Linked DNA regions of Sus scrofa. The protein of the gene in region 2 interacts with the protein of the main gene of each other region in a pairwise test. Links are inferred from orthologs where the notes say so. Each region holds a gene or a part of one and is shown on either strand. Other genes may lie near its edges.

The links. The genes of interacting proteins can lie anywhere in the genome.
Region 1: the proteins of PNMA1 (region 2) and SPG7 interact in binary tests that used the Homo sapiens proteins (3 or more experiments, as listed by UniProt). The two-hybrid records come from large-scale screens. The link is inferred for Sus scrofa from reciprocal best matches to the Homo sapiens genes PNMA1 and SPG7.
Region 3: the proteins of PNMA1 (region 2) and GPANK1 interact in binary tests that used the Homo sapiens proteins (3 or more experiments, as listed by UniProt). The two-hybrid records come from large-scale screens. The link is inferred for Sus scrofa from reciprocal best matches to the Homo sapiens genes PNMA1 and GPANK1.

The regions. Positions count from the first base shown.
Region 1 is NC_010448.4:436,407-440,408, forward strand, and holds the start of SPG7 (paraplegin), read right to left. Parts: upstream 2,801-4,002; 5' UTR 2,786-2,800; coding exon 2,603-2,785; intron 140-2,602; coding exon 37-139; intron 1-36. UniProt on the Homo sapiens protein: Catalytic component of the m-AAA protease, a protease that plays a key role in proteostasis of inner mitochondrial membrane proteins, and which is essential for axonal and neuron development.
Region 2 is NC_010449.5:97,049,058-97,053,068, reverse strand, and holds PNMA1 (paraneoplastic antigen Ma1), read left to right. Parts: upstream 1-1,211; 5' UTR 1,212-2,051; coding exon 2,052-3,113; 3' UTR 3,114-3,919; downstream 3,920-4,011.
Region 3 is NC_010449.5:23,777,547-23,781,657, forward strand, and holds the start of GPANK1 (G patch domain and ankyrin repeat-containing protein 1), read right to left. Parts: upstream 2,801-4,111; 5' UTR 2,275-2,800; exon of another isoform or gene 1,862-2,274; intron 1,785-1,861; exon of another isoform or gene 1,782-1,784; 5' UTR 1,693-1,781; coding exon 1,088-1,692; intron 195-1,087; coding exon 1-194.

The DNA of each region.
Region 1 (4,002 bases), on a different chromosome or scaffold from region 2:
CAGAAAAGGGGAAAAAAAAAAAAAAAATGTACACACCTAAAAGTTTCCAGAGTCCTACTGGATTCTGGACTAGATGCTGTTTCACCAACAACATGCTGATCCCGCCAAAGGTGGGGGTTAGGAGTCGCAACTGGAAACTCTGAAGAAAAAAGAACGATGCTGAGAATCAATCCAGCAGTACCGCAGCGCGCCCAGGCCACTCGGACGAACTCCGGGGTGCCAAGTCTTTCCTAAAAGCGGGGAGTTATATATTTGTAACATTTACACCACGGCCTGAAATACGAAGTAATACTCTGAGCGTTGCTTCAAAGTTTTAACACAACATCACCAAAAAATAAATAAAAATGTCAAGAGTGAGTATGTCAAAGAAATGCTTAAAGCAAGGTGCTGAACACGGCGCCCAGCTCTTCCGCAGGAAACAGCAGCGAAGGCCTGGACTCTCCGCTCCAGACAAACACTCCTTGGAGCACATTTCCAGGACCCAGGTGCCGCTTTCCCACCTGAATGCTTTTGCCGTGATGGTCAGTTTAGTTTTTTCTATCTCTGCATTGCCAATTTCTTTTCTTTTTTTCTCCTTCCTCCCTTCCTCCTCCCCCTTTCTTTCTTTTTTCTTTTTTAGGGCCGCACCTGCAGCATGTGGAGGTTCCCAGGCTAGGGATCAAACTGGAGCTGCAGCTGCCGGTCTACACCACAGCCACAGCAACAAGGGATCTGAGCCGTGTCTGCCACATACGCTGCAGCTCACGGCAACGCTTGATCCTTAACGCACTGAGCAAGGCCAGGGATCGAACCCAAGTCCTCATGGATACTAGTCGGGCTGGTTACTAAGCCAGGACAGGAACTCCATGTGTTAGCAATTTCTGCATCTATTTTTATTCTTTTTAAATTGTTTTCCTTAGCTCACCCCCAGTTTGCTGCTATTACAGAGAAAAGTAACACCTTTCTGAGCGCTCTTTGGCAAGGGCTGCTCCTTAAGAAAGAAGATGTTACGTGTGATTTCCTTCTAGCAACAGGTTGAAAATTCCTACTTTTCACTATTATTGTTGATTTTAATTAAAAGTTTTCCTCTTGGGCGTTCCCTTCGTGGCTCAGTGGTTAACAAACCTAAGATCCATGAGGATACAGGTTCATCCCTTGGCTCACTCAGCGGGTTAAGGATCTGGTGTTGCCGTGAGCTGTGGTGTACAGGTCGCAGACATGGCTCGGATTCTTCGTCGCTGTGGCTATGGTGTAGGCCGGCAGCAGCTCCAGTTTGACCCTTTGCCTGGGAACCTCCATATACCATGAGTGTGGCCCTAAAAAGCAAAAAAAAAAAAAAAAAAGTCTCTTCTTGGTTCAGTGATGACAAGAAGGCATATAAGGGAAACTCGGCCAAGTAAATGAATAACATTAGTGTGGTAAATAGTAACAAAGGGGGGGGGTCACTCTTCAAAATCAGCCCTAGAATTCCCTAGTGACTCAGCAGGTTAAGAATCCAGTGTTATAAGTGCAGTGGTTCCAGTTACTGCAGCAGCGCCGGTCCCATTCAAGGCCTGACAATTTGCAAATGCTGTGGGTAGAGCCAAAAAAAAAAAAAACTCCCCAAGACAAAGAACACAGTCAGCCCTAAATACCATTTGCTTAAACCTCACATACTTTGATTACTCTTACAGCCCTTAGTGAGGTAATCTGCTCTATGTCACAAGTACATGAGAACTGCCTACTTCGGCCTTTATCTTCATAGAATGATCAGAGTCTGACAACAGATGATATGATTTTCCTCAACAGAATTAAAAAACCGGAGTTCCCATTGTGGCTCAGTGGTTAACGAATCCGACTAGGAACCATGAGGTGGTGGGTTCGATCCCTGGCCTCGCTCAGTGGGTTAACGATTCGGCGTTGCCATGAGCTGTGGTGTAGGTTGCAGACGTGGCTTGGATCCCGCGTTGCTGTGGCTGTGGCGTAGACCAGTGGCTATAGCTCCGATTCAACCCCTAGCCTGGGAACCTCCATATGCTGCAGGAGCGGTCCTAGAAAAGGCAAAAAAATAAAAAAACAAAAACAAAAAGTGCAATATATCTATAGTTGCCTTGGCAGGGTGGCCAGGTATCTAGAATAGAATTAAAATATGAAATTGGTCCTAAAACTATGGTAAAATGGAACAACATAACCTAAAAGAGGGCTAAAAAGCACCAGGACTTAAGGTCTTTGTTTCAGGGTGAAATGTTGACCTCACAGGACCTGGAACAATCTTTACACAGTCAATGAGTTTGTGTTCACAAGTCAAGCTACAGCACAAAAGTAAAACAGTTACAGGTGTTTTTCTCACAAACAAAACTTTCAGAAAGCCCACTTAAGAGCATCTGGAAGGCGCTGGAATTCAACCTGGTGACATCTGATCTATGCGAGCCAAGTGCAAAACTGTGCTCTGCTAAAAAGTGATGGAAGTCTTACTCGACTCAATTCCAAAGCGCTATGAAAAGCAGCAGAAGATAGCAACACACAAAACCAGGGCTAGAAAAACGCCAAGGCGGGGCCGTGCGGCCTCGCCCACGCCCCTCCCCCGGGGGCAGCCAGCTGGAGCGGCACCGCCCGCAGCACCACGCCAGGGGCCGCACCTCACCTGCAGGACTCGGCTTCCAGGCCCGACACAACCCACTGGAGGCCTGTGGACCACGTACAGCCACCTCCACCCGACCCCGGCGGAGCAGCCCGGGCTCCTGCCTGAGCAGCAGCCCCGCAGTCGCCCCCGCCCGGGCCCTGGCCCCGGGCGGAGAGCGCGTAGCAGCAGCCACGGCGCCGCCATGTTGACCCGGAAGCGGTACCTACGCGGTCCGGGCCTCCCGGGGCGCCTGCGCGGTCCCGGCCTCCCGGGGCGCCTGCGCGGTCCCGGCCTCCTCGGGGCGCCTGCGCGGTCCGGGCTGCCTGCGCAGTCAGGCCGGCTGCGTCTCTGATCCCGCAGAGGTTCGCAGGTGGTTTGAGGCGCCACACTGTGCAGAGCGCTGCGAGTAGACCTGCAGCCGGGCGGACGCGGGAGGGAGGGCTTCAGGACTCTGCGCCGGGCCGCTTTTCCCAGGAGGACTTGGCGCAGCGGCTCCTAAGGCCGCGGAGGGCGCGAGAGAGCCCGAAGGGCGTGGAGCGTGCGCAGATGCGACCCTGACCGCGACTCCTGCTCGGATCCCCGACTCAGACCAGGACTTCGACCCCAACTCCCGCCTGGATCCCCGACCCTAACTCCGACTCCCCCCCCGGGACCAGGACTCTGACCCCGACTCCGATCCGCAGACCCAGTCAGGTCTTGGCGCGGGGAGGGTGCTGCCCAGGGGAGGGCTTTGCTGGTGCAGCCTCTGGCCCCTGGGCGGTGCCTGGAAGGTCCTGCGCGCTAGAGGACGAGGAAGGGGCCTCGGGTAAGAGCAGGGTCTTCAGAAGAGGGTAGCAGACGGCTGGCATTCTTGTCCTTCAAGATGCTTAATTTCGGAGAGGTTACAACCTTCTCCTGGAGGCAGGCGGACTCACTCTGGAAGTCGTGCCCATCTCTTGTGTCCAGGATCACAGCCCAAGAGAAGTAGGCCACTCTCGTCCCTGGGGAAAGGGCAGGGGTCTGAGGCATCCTGCCCTTGGGATTCCGTACCCTATGGTCCCTCTTTCGCGGCCCACCTGAGGTCTGGTGCTTGAATGCTTAGCTCTGAGACTGCTGGTTGTGTTACAGGGTCACTTCAGCTTGTTTCTCTGTTTTTCTGTATTCCCCAGATTCCTGGTCGCTCAAGGAGAGCCAGTTCTCCTAACTGCTACCTAGTGCCTGGCGCCATGTCAAACATTCATTTACTCTTCACAGGTGTGCAGACTCCTTTTATGTCTGTTTTACAGAGAGGGAAACAGATTTAGAGCAATTTAAAGTAAGCTCCCGAGGTTACAGCTAAGGAGTCATGAGCAGAATTTCAGAGCTCGTTTGACTGTTTGCAGGGCCTGTGCTCTCCGACCTATGGATTCAGGTGTGACAGGAGTGACAGGTATGACACACGT
Region 2 (4,011 bases):
CTTCTCATGTGCCAGATGTTAAGATGAAGGAGGAATACAACACATACACAAGCCTCAGCTGTTTAAATATGTTTTTACCGGGGCTCAGTTTTCTCAGATGGTATTTATTACCAGTGGCAAGCCTAACTCCTTAGGTTTACAGGAAGTATGCATATTTTTATAAAACAATTGTATGTCCTCCCCATATTTTGCTGTATTAATATTTGCCTCTAACTAACAATTTGCAGCTGTTTCACCTTTTCCTCATTTGTCTCTTAGTCAAAGGCCTTGTTGGAGGGGACAGAGCACAGGAACAGCCTTGATAGTCTGTAATTATTGTACAAATATTTTAATAGCATATAAATAAGTATATTCCTTTTATTTTGAAAAAATCAGACACTGCCTTTTGTGTGTTTGCTGCCTGTGGCACCCTTTTTTAAAAGACTGTTACATATTAAAATAGTGTACATATATATAAATATTACCTCTTTTGCTGTACAGTTGTGATAGACCAGACGGAAGATTTTATTTTTTGTGTGCTTTTTATAAAAAAAAAAATTAACACACTAAAGAAAATCTTGCTGATGTGATTGTAATGTACCTATGTAACTTATTTACTTTTGAATGTTCTTCTGTATCTTTAAACCTTTTATTAAATAAGGTTTTAAAAATTCAGAGTTGATTTCTGTGTCCTTTGGGGGAAAGATTTATTATCTCACCATCTGGGATTGTAAGTGTGCCTTGGTTTGCTTCCAAAGGATACTTGACATTTTTGAACCATAAGGCCTGTTTTATCCATGATGCCAGGGCAGGGGAAATAACACATTAGTGTTTGCCGGGTTACTATTCATAGAGATCTAGATCTTTTTACAACATTTTAGACAAGAAGAAGTCTCAACTCACTGGGATAAAATTTAGAGGGTGCAGAGTGCAGTCAGGTGGTACAGGGTATTATACAGCATTGCCTCTGAACGAGCGACGCGAGTAGACAAGTCTTTCTTGACGGCCGGATATCATCTTAAATCCACTCCAGAATTATATTATCTTTTAAACACAGTGCTTTGTTAAGAAAAAAAAAAATCTGGAAAATGCGAAAAAGGAAATGCGCGGTAAAGGAAATTAACGCCCGCGGCCCCGAGCTGCCACCATGGCAACCATTCGCCCCTGCAGGCCGCTAGAGCTCCGGCGTCTCGCGTCGGTGGTTGCCGTGGCTACGGTCGCGCGGGCAGGGCCGCGGGGGGCGGGGCGAGGCGGGTCGAAGGCCGGCCCCGCCCTCCACTGCGGCAGTAAAGGCTAGGCTGGCTGCGGGTGGGACCGAGGTACAACTGTGCAGCTCCAGCCCACCTCGGCCCGCGGTCGCCTGCGTGCGGGGCTGCCGCGGCCTGCCTGCGACTGCGCCTGCGCCTCCTCTAGCCTGGCTTCCGCGTCTTTCCTGCGCCTCTGCTGCCTGTGTTCTTGGTCCTTGGCGTCCTCGCCGCCCAGAGGGATACGTTTGCCCACGAAGAAGCTCTCTCGGGTTGGCCTCGCTGCCGCCGCTGTCTTTCCCTTAGGACAGTCTTTCCCTCCGGGGGCGGTACTAGTTCTTGTCTGCGGAGAAGCGGCTCCTAGCTCGTCTGAGGCGTGCTCCGCTCTGGCAACGAAAGCTTGCACCCTCTGGGAGCAGCAGCGAGTGCCTGGCGCCCAGGCTGCGAAGAGGCGGCCACGTCCCGCGATCAAGCCCTGCGGCTCCTGCTTTCGCCGCCCGCCTTTTTTCCTCGCCTCTGCGCTCCGACGCGACACCTTCCTGTAAGTGGAGGACCCGGCCTGCGGATCCCGACCGGAGACACAAGATGGCGATGGCCATGTGACTGAGCATCCCCGAGGCTTCGTTCCGAGAACGCGGAGGCCTGGCTTTGAGGGGCAGCGAAAAGAGGAGAGCAGGACACTGGTGTCGTTTGTTAAACGTGATTGACTCCCTCGGGCATATGGGGGGAGGTGGCGGTGGGAGCGTCTGCTATTGTCTTCAGTTTTAGAGCACAGGGAGCCACAGTCTAATTGTATTTGTAGAATTGGGGCCCTTGATAGTTGGGAAAATGGCGATGACACTGCTGGAAGATTGGTGTAGGGGGATGGATGTGAACTCCCAGAGAGCCCTTCTGGTCTGGGGGATCCCTGTGAACTGTGATGAGACCGAAATCGAAGAGACCTTTCAAGCTGCGATGCCCCAGGTGCCCTATCGAGTGCTTGGGAGAATGTTCTGGAGGGAAGAGAATGCCAAAGCAGCCTTGTTAGAGCTCACTGGTGCTGTCGATTATGCTGCGATCCCCAGGGAGATGCCAGGTAAAGGAGGGGTCTGGAAAGTAGTCTTTAAGCCCCCCACTTCCGATGCTGAATTTTTAGAAAGGTTGCACCTCTTCCTAGCAAGAGAGGGGTGGACCGTGCAAGATGTTGCCCGTGTCCTTGGGTTTCAGAACCCCACTCCGGCCCCAGGCCCCGAAATGCCGGCAGAGATGCTAAACTATATTTTGGATAATGTTATTCAGCCTCTGGTTGAGTCCATATGGTACAAGAAGCTGACGTTGTTCTCGGGAAGGGACATTCCGGGGCCAGGGGAGGAGGCATTTGATCCCTGGCTGGAGCACACTAATGAGGTCATAGAGGAGTGGCAGGTGCCTGATGTAGAAAAGAGGCGGCGGTTGATGGAGAGCCTTAGAGGCCCTGCCGCTGATGTCATCCGCATCCTCAAGACCAACAACCCTGCGATTACCACCGCTGAATGCCTGAAGGCGCTGGAGCAGGTGTTTGGGAGCGTCGAGAGCTCTAGGGATGCGCAGGTGAGATTTCTGAACACATACCAGAACCCGGGAGAAAAATTATCTGCTTATGTGATTCGTCTGGAGCCTCTGCTGCAGAAGGTGGTTGAGAAGGGGGCCATAGATAAAGATAACGTGAACCAGGCCCGCCTGGAGCAGGTCATTGCCGGGGCCAATCACAGCGGAGCCATCCGAAGGCAGTTGTGGCTGACCGGGGCTGCTGAAGGGCCGGCCCCCAACCTCTTCCAGTTGCTGGTGCAGATCCGCGAGGAGGAGGCCAAGGAAGAGGAGGAGGAGGCTGAGGCCGCCCTCCTGCAGTTAGGCCTGGAGGGGCACTTCTGAGTCCCAGGAAAGGGGGCGTTAGTTCAGACCTAGATCACGGCTGCTTTCATTGTCTCTGTGATGTCTTACAGGTGTGTCTCCTGCTAGTAAAGACTAAGCGGTGTTTTTTGTTTTTGGGCGGGAGTCCGGCCTGGGTATTCATGTGTCATTAGCACAATCGTGCAGGGGAGCACCAGATCTGCTGCAGCGCTCGTGGGTCATGCTAGCTACAATGCCAGGGAAAGGCTTGGACGTGAGTCCTCATTGCAAGCTATCATCATGGCACCATCATCGGTTGTGAAAAATGTGGTCTCGTGACTCTTCCCATCAAGGTAATTAAATATGAAATTGCATGTTCAGATGTATAATGAGTGCAGGGCCTGGATACCAAAAGAACTGTTCAGTAAAAAATGTCAACTGTTTACTCTTAACTGTGGTGAATAGTTTTTGTGTCTACCGTAAATTGTTCCTGGTTTATATTAATGGAAAGAAATGTGAATAAGGTATTATTCAGCTTTACAGTGCAGATTTCTTACTGTACATCTTTAAAGATCTAGATCAGTTTAATTGAAAAGTGTTCTGAGACTACAAAATGGGGTGTTAGAACGATACTGCGCTTACAGGGCTGTGTAAATCAAGTTTTCACTGTGTAAGATGCAGATATAAAATGCATGGGGAGGTTAATAGGAACCAGTTACAGCATCTATTCCCCCATTTCAAATCTTTGTCATTGAAGAGTAGTTTACCATGTTCATGCTGATTCTAAATGTTTTAAATTCGAAGTTATCAAATACATGTATATTAATAAAAATATTTTTTAAATTCTCTTATTTTTCTGCAACATATAAAAATTTTCAGTGTAATTAAGCTCTGTATCTTCATTTTTTCAGGAAGATTTCCCCCATCACTAAAAAAATCC
Region 3 (4,111 bases), about 73 Mb from region 2:
GTCCCTTTCCAGGCTCCCAACCCCCCCTTAGGAGAAGCTTAAAGCCTGGGCTGGAGGTAGGCACCCCAAGGGGCAGGTTGGGGGGCTGGAGATCCCGGGACAGTGAGAGCAGGTGAGCGGTGGATGTACGGTGGTTAGAGTCTTGGAAGTGGGCATCACAGGTCTCACAGTACTGGGGGGAGAGGGATCGGGGCCTGCAAAGAAAAAAGAATGGTTAAGGGCAACACAAGGATTGAGGCCTCAGGAGGGTGGCAGGGTTAGGTCCTTCCTGTATTTCTGCTGAGGAACAAATTGCCTTCCTCCCCACTTCATGATAAGAGACCCAAAAGGGAATAGTTGAGCCAACAGATGTTAAAAAGGCTTCACAAAGTTCTTGGGTGATGAAAAATAACAATAGTGACCATAGCTAGTGTTGGTATAGTGCTTAGTATGGGACAGGTGCTTTTCTAGCACTTTACATATATTAACCTATTTGACCCTAACAACCCTAAGAGAAAGGTGCTTTTATTGCTCCATTTCTTAGATGAGGAAACTGAGGCACATGGGTTAGGTTGCTTGCCCACGTAAGTACAGTCAGGATTTAAACCCAAGGAGCCCATGCAATGTGGGAATATAGCAAATATACGTGAACTATACTTCAATTAAAAAACTTAAAATTTTTTTTGTCTTTTTTAGGGCCACACCTGCGGCATGTGGAAGTCCCCAGACTAGGGGCCAAATCAGAGCTGTAGCTGCTGGCCTATGCTACAACCACAGCCATGTGAGATCCGAGCCTCATGTGAGATCTACACCACACGACAATGCCAAGATCTTAACCCACTGAGGTCAGGGACTGAACCCTCGTCCTCATGGATACTAGTTGGGTTTGTTACCACTGAGCCGCAATGGGAACTACCCCAATTTTTTTTTTAATGAAAAAAATGTTTTATATAAAAAATAATCCAAGGGAGTATCCTGTTCATAATCACACTGCCCGATCAGCCTACATTAGGGAACAGGAAAGTAAACCCTTTGGCTCTATTCTGTGGCCTCCTGTGTGAAGTGTGAGGAAGGGCAGAACACAATGAAAGATAAGGCTTCCCCTTACCGGTTCTCTGGACTCCTTGTCTCTCCGGGGCTCTCTCTGACCATGCGGGCCACTTCAGGGAAGCCTGCTTCTTCCGCCAGCTGAGCAGCATCCCTGCCACCCAGCTCGCAGACCCCCACCCAGGCCGCCCCACGGCCCAGGAGATAGCGCACAGCTGCCCCCTGGCCTGCTCGGGCAGCACACATCAGTGGGGTCCACCAGAAAGCATCTCGAGCGTTGATATTCCCTCCAGCTCCCCCTGCCTCATGGGGATCCAACAGCTTTTTCAGTTTTGCCAGGTCCCCCTCCTGGGCTGCCCTCAGTATCTGCTGGGTCATCTTGTCCTCTGCCTCAAGGGATCTCCTTTGTCCATCTTCTCCTGATGCTCCTGCTGTAGTCTCCCTCATCGTTCGTCTTTTCTTCCTCTTTCTAGCAGGCTCAGGCTGAGATCTCTGGGGCTCAGGGGTGCTGTCCTCGTCCCCAATCAAAGCTTCATAGAAAGCCCGGGCTGCAGCCCCATCCAGGGTGGGCTCCAGCTCTTCAGGGTGTGACTGCAGTTGCCCATCTTTCCAGAGATCACTGGGGTCAGTGGCTGGGGTAAAGTTAATGAGGGAGGACCCGGACATGGCTTTGGGGAGAGTTGGGAAAATGAGATTAGGCAGGGGGAAGCCAAGTCCCAGATGGTCCTGCAATGACCAGAATCACCTACAGACACCTGCTGGGATAAAAACAAGTATCCTTAGAATCAAAAATCCCCTCCCGGGAGTTCCCTTCGTGGCTCAGTGGTTAACAAACCTGATTAGATTCGATCCCTGGCCTCAGATCAGTGGGTTAAGGATCCGGCGTTGCTGTGAGCTGTGGTGTAGGTTGCAGACACGGCTGGATCCTGCGTTGCTGTGGCTGTGGTGTAGGCCAGCAGCTGTAGCTCCAATTCCATTTCTAGCCTGGGAGCCTCCATATGCCACCGGTGCAGCCCTAAAGACAAAAACAAACAAAAACCCTCCTACGCGGAAAGTGAACCCCGAGGACCACGGATTGTGTAAAAATAGGAAACCCTATGGTAACAGACCATGCCCCTTAGTAAAGGTTAACAAAGTAGACTCTGTAAGACAGTTGCCCAGAAGTCCTGTGCTCTGCCCCCACTCCATCCTCACCATCAATAATAACAGCCTTTCTCTGAAACTACTTTACAACTGCGCGGGACATACCATTAAGGAAAACAATCAGCCTGGCTCTTTAAATCTTCCTGGATCCTATTTCGGGGTATTCTTAAACAAAAACAGACTTGACATTTGTCCGGAAGCAGGAAGCCGATTCGCGGGGAGGTTCCACTCGTTGCTTTGCAGCTTCCGTACTGCAAAATGGCGCTACTCTAAGCAAAGGCGTCCACAGTCAAAGCCGCATGCGCAGCTGAATGGGGAGCGGGCGGGGGACAAACAAAAACAATACTGGAGCACGCAGGCGCGCTGCTCCGGGCTATTTCCCGCCCTGGAATCTTTCCAATAACACAAGCGCAAAACGCCACGTGCCCTGGTAGCGCGAGGATCGAGAAATATCTGTCGGTTGGGGTCCTGCTTTTACCTAACGCCCCCACAATGCTCTTCGCCTCCCTCAACGTGGCCCCCGCTCCAAGCTCATTTTCTGGACCTGGGAAACCACCCTCTGGGTTAAGAAAGGCCCTGAGGCGGAGAATGCCCAGAAGCCGTGAAATGAAATAGTCACGCAGCCCCTCACCATTAATCTGACCAGGGTTGGAAGGTCGCACTTAGCACCCGCAGCAGAAGGCCCTGTTCAAGCCTTAAAAGGAAATGGAGAAGTGCAAGGGGACGAGCAACAGAATGGCTGGCGCCACCTCAGGTTAGCGCACGGGACCTTCCCGATTCTCACACCTCTCAGCTCAGCCAGCACACCCTACCCAGGTCCCTCAGCGCGGAACCCGGCCTCACCTCCCACCTCAGGAGATCAAACCCTTGAGTGAAATATGGGCCCCGTTGAGGGTCTCCTTGGCAGGCTGACTCGGACAGGGGGGCTCCACAAGCGATAAGGGCCAGGCAGCTGGTCGGTGATGAGGTCAATGGTCTGGGTAGCAGGGCCGCACGCCTGAGGCTCGTTGTGTGAGAGGGAGCGGCAGTAAATGATCCAGCCTGTCTTGTTCCTTTCCCCGCCCCCTCTCAGCCCCACGGTGATAAGATCACTCGACTATATTTCCCAGGCTCCCTGGCCCAGAACACGGTACTGCGTTTCCGCTTCCGGTGGCGGCTCCCTACGCCCCGCCCCGGAGCGTTTCCCTCAGGGGCCTCGCGACACCAGGGTCGTGGGCGGGTCGTCCTGGGATTCGTAGTTCGCCCTTTCTCAGTTGCGCCAGTTTCTAGCTTCCGAGGACTCCATCTCCCGGCGTTCACCGCGGCGCACGATTTTAAGCGCTTGCGCGTTGCCCTCTTCCCCACCCTCCCCAGTTTCCACTCCCCCCGCCCCACTTCGCCTGCCGCGGTTGGATCCGCGGCCTGCGTTGTAGCCGTCGCCGCGGTTCCTTGGAAGCAGAAACTCCCCTCCCCTCCCCGCCCCCCCGGTCCCAGTCCCCGTCCAGCCGGTGAGTCTGAGGTCGTTGCCGCGCCGCGTCCCCTGTTCCTGGGCGCGGCACAAGGGGTCTCCGTGCCTTGATGTGGGGGTGGGGAAGGAAGTGACCAGGTCCGGGACCGAAGGAAGGAGGGGGTGGTCTGAAGGATGGAGGCGGGATAAGGAGACTCCCGTGAAAGGGACCTAACTGCCATCCCCAGACTTTGAGAAAAAGAGGAGCTTAGCTCTTGCCTGGAAAGAAACTTCGGAAACCTTGGGAATGGGGCCGGGGACAAACGGAGACTTGCGGGGGTAGGGAATCTGAGCCGCAGGCCCTGCTGGAGTTGACATAGAGGAGAGAGGGGCCTGGCCTTGGGGAGCGTTAGGGATGTGGATAGGACTAATGGGTCAAGACCTGCCGGTTACACACAAGTGTTGGGACCCCAGAGAATTTCCTGTCTCTGAAAAAAGGGGTTGAGGTGTGAATAG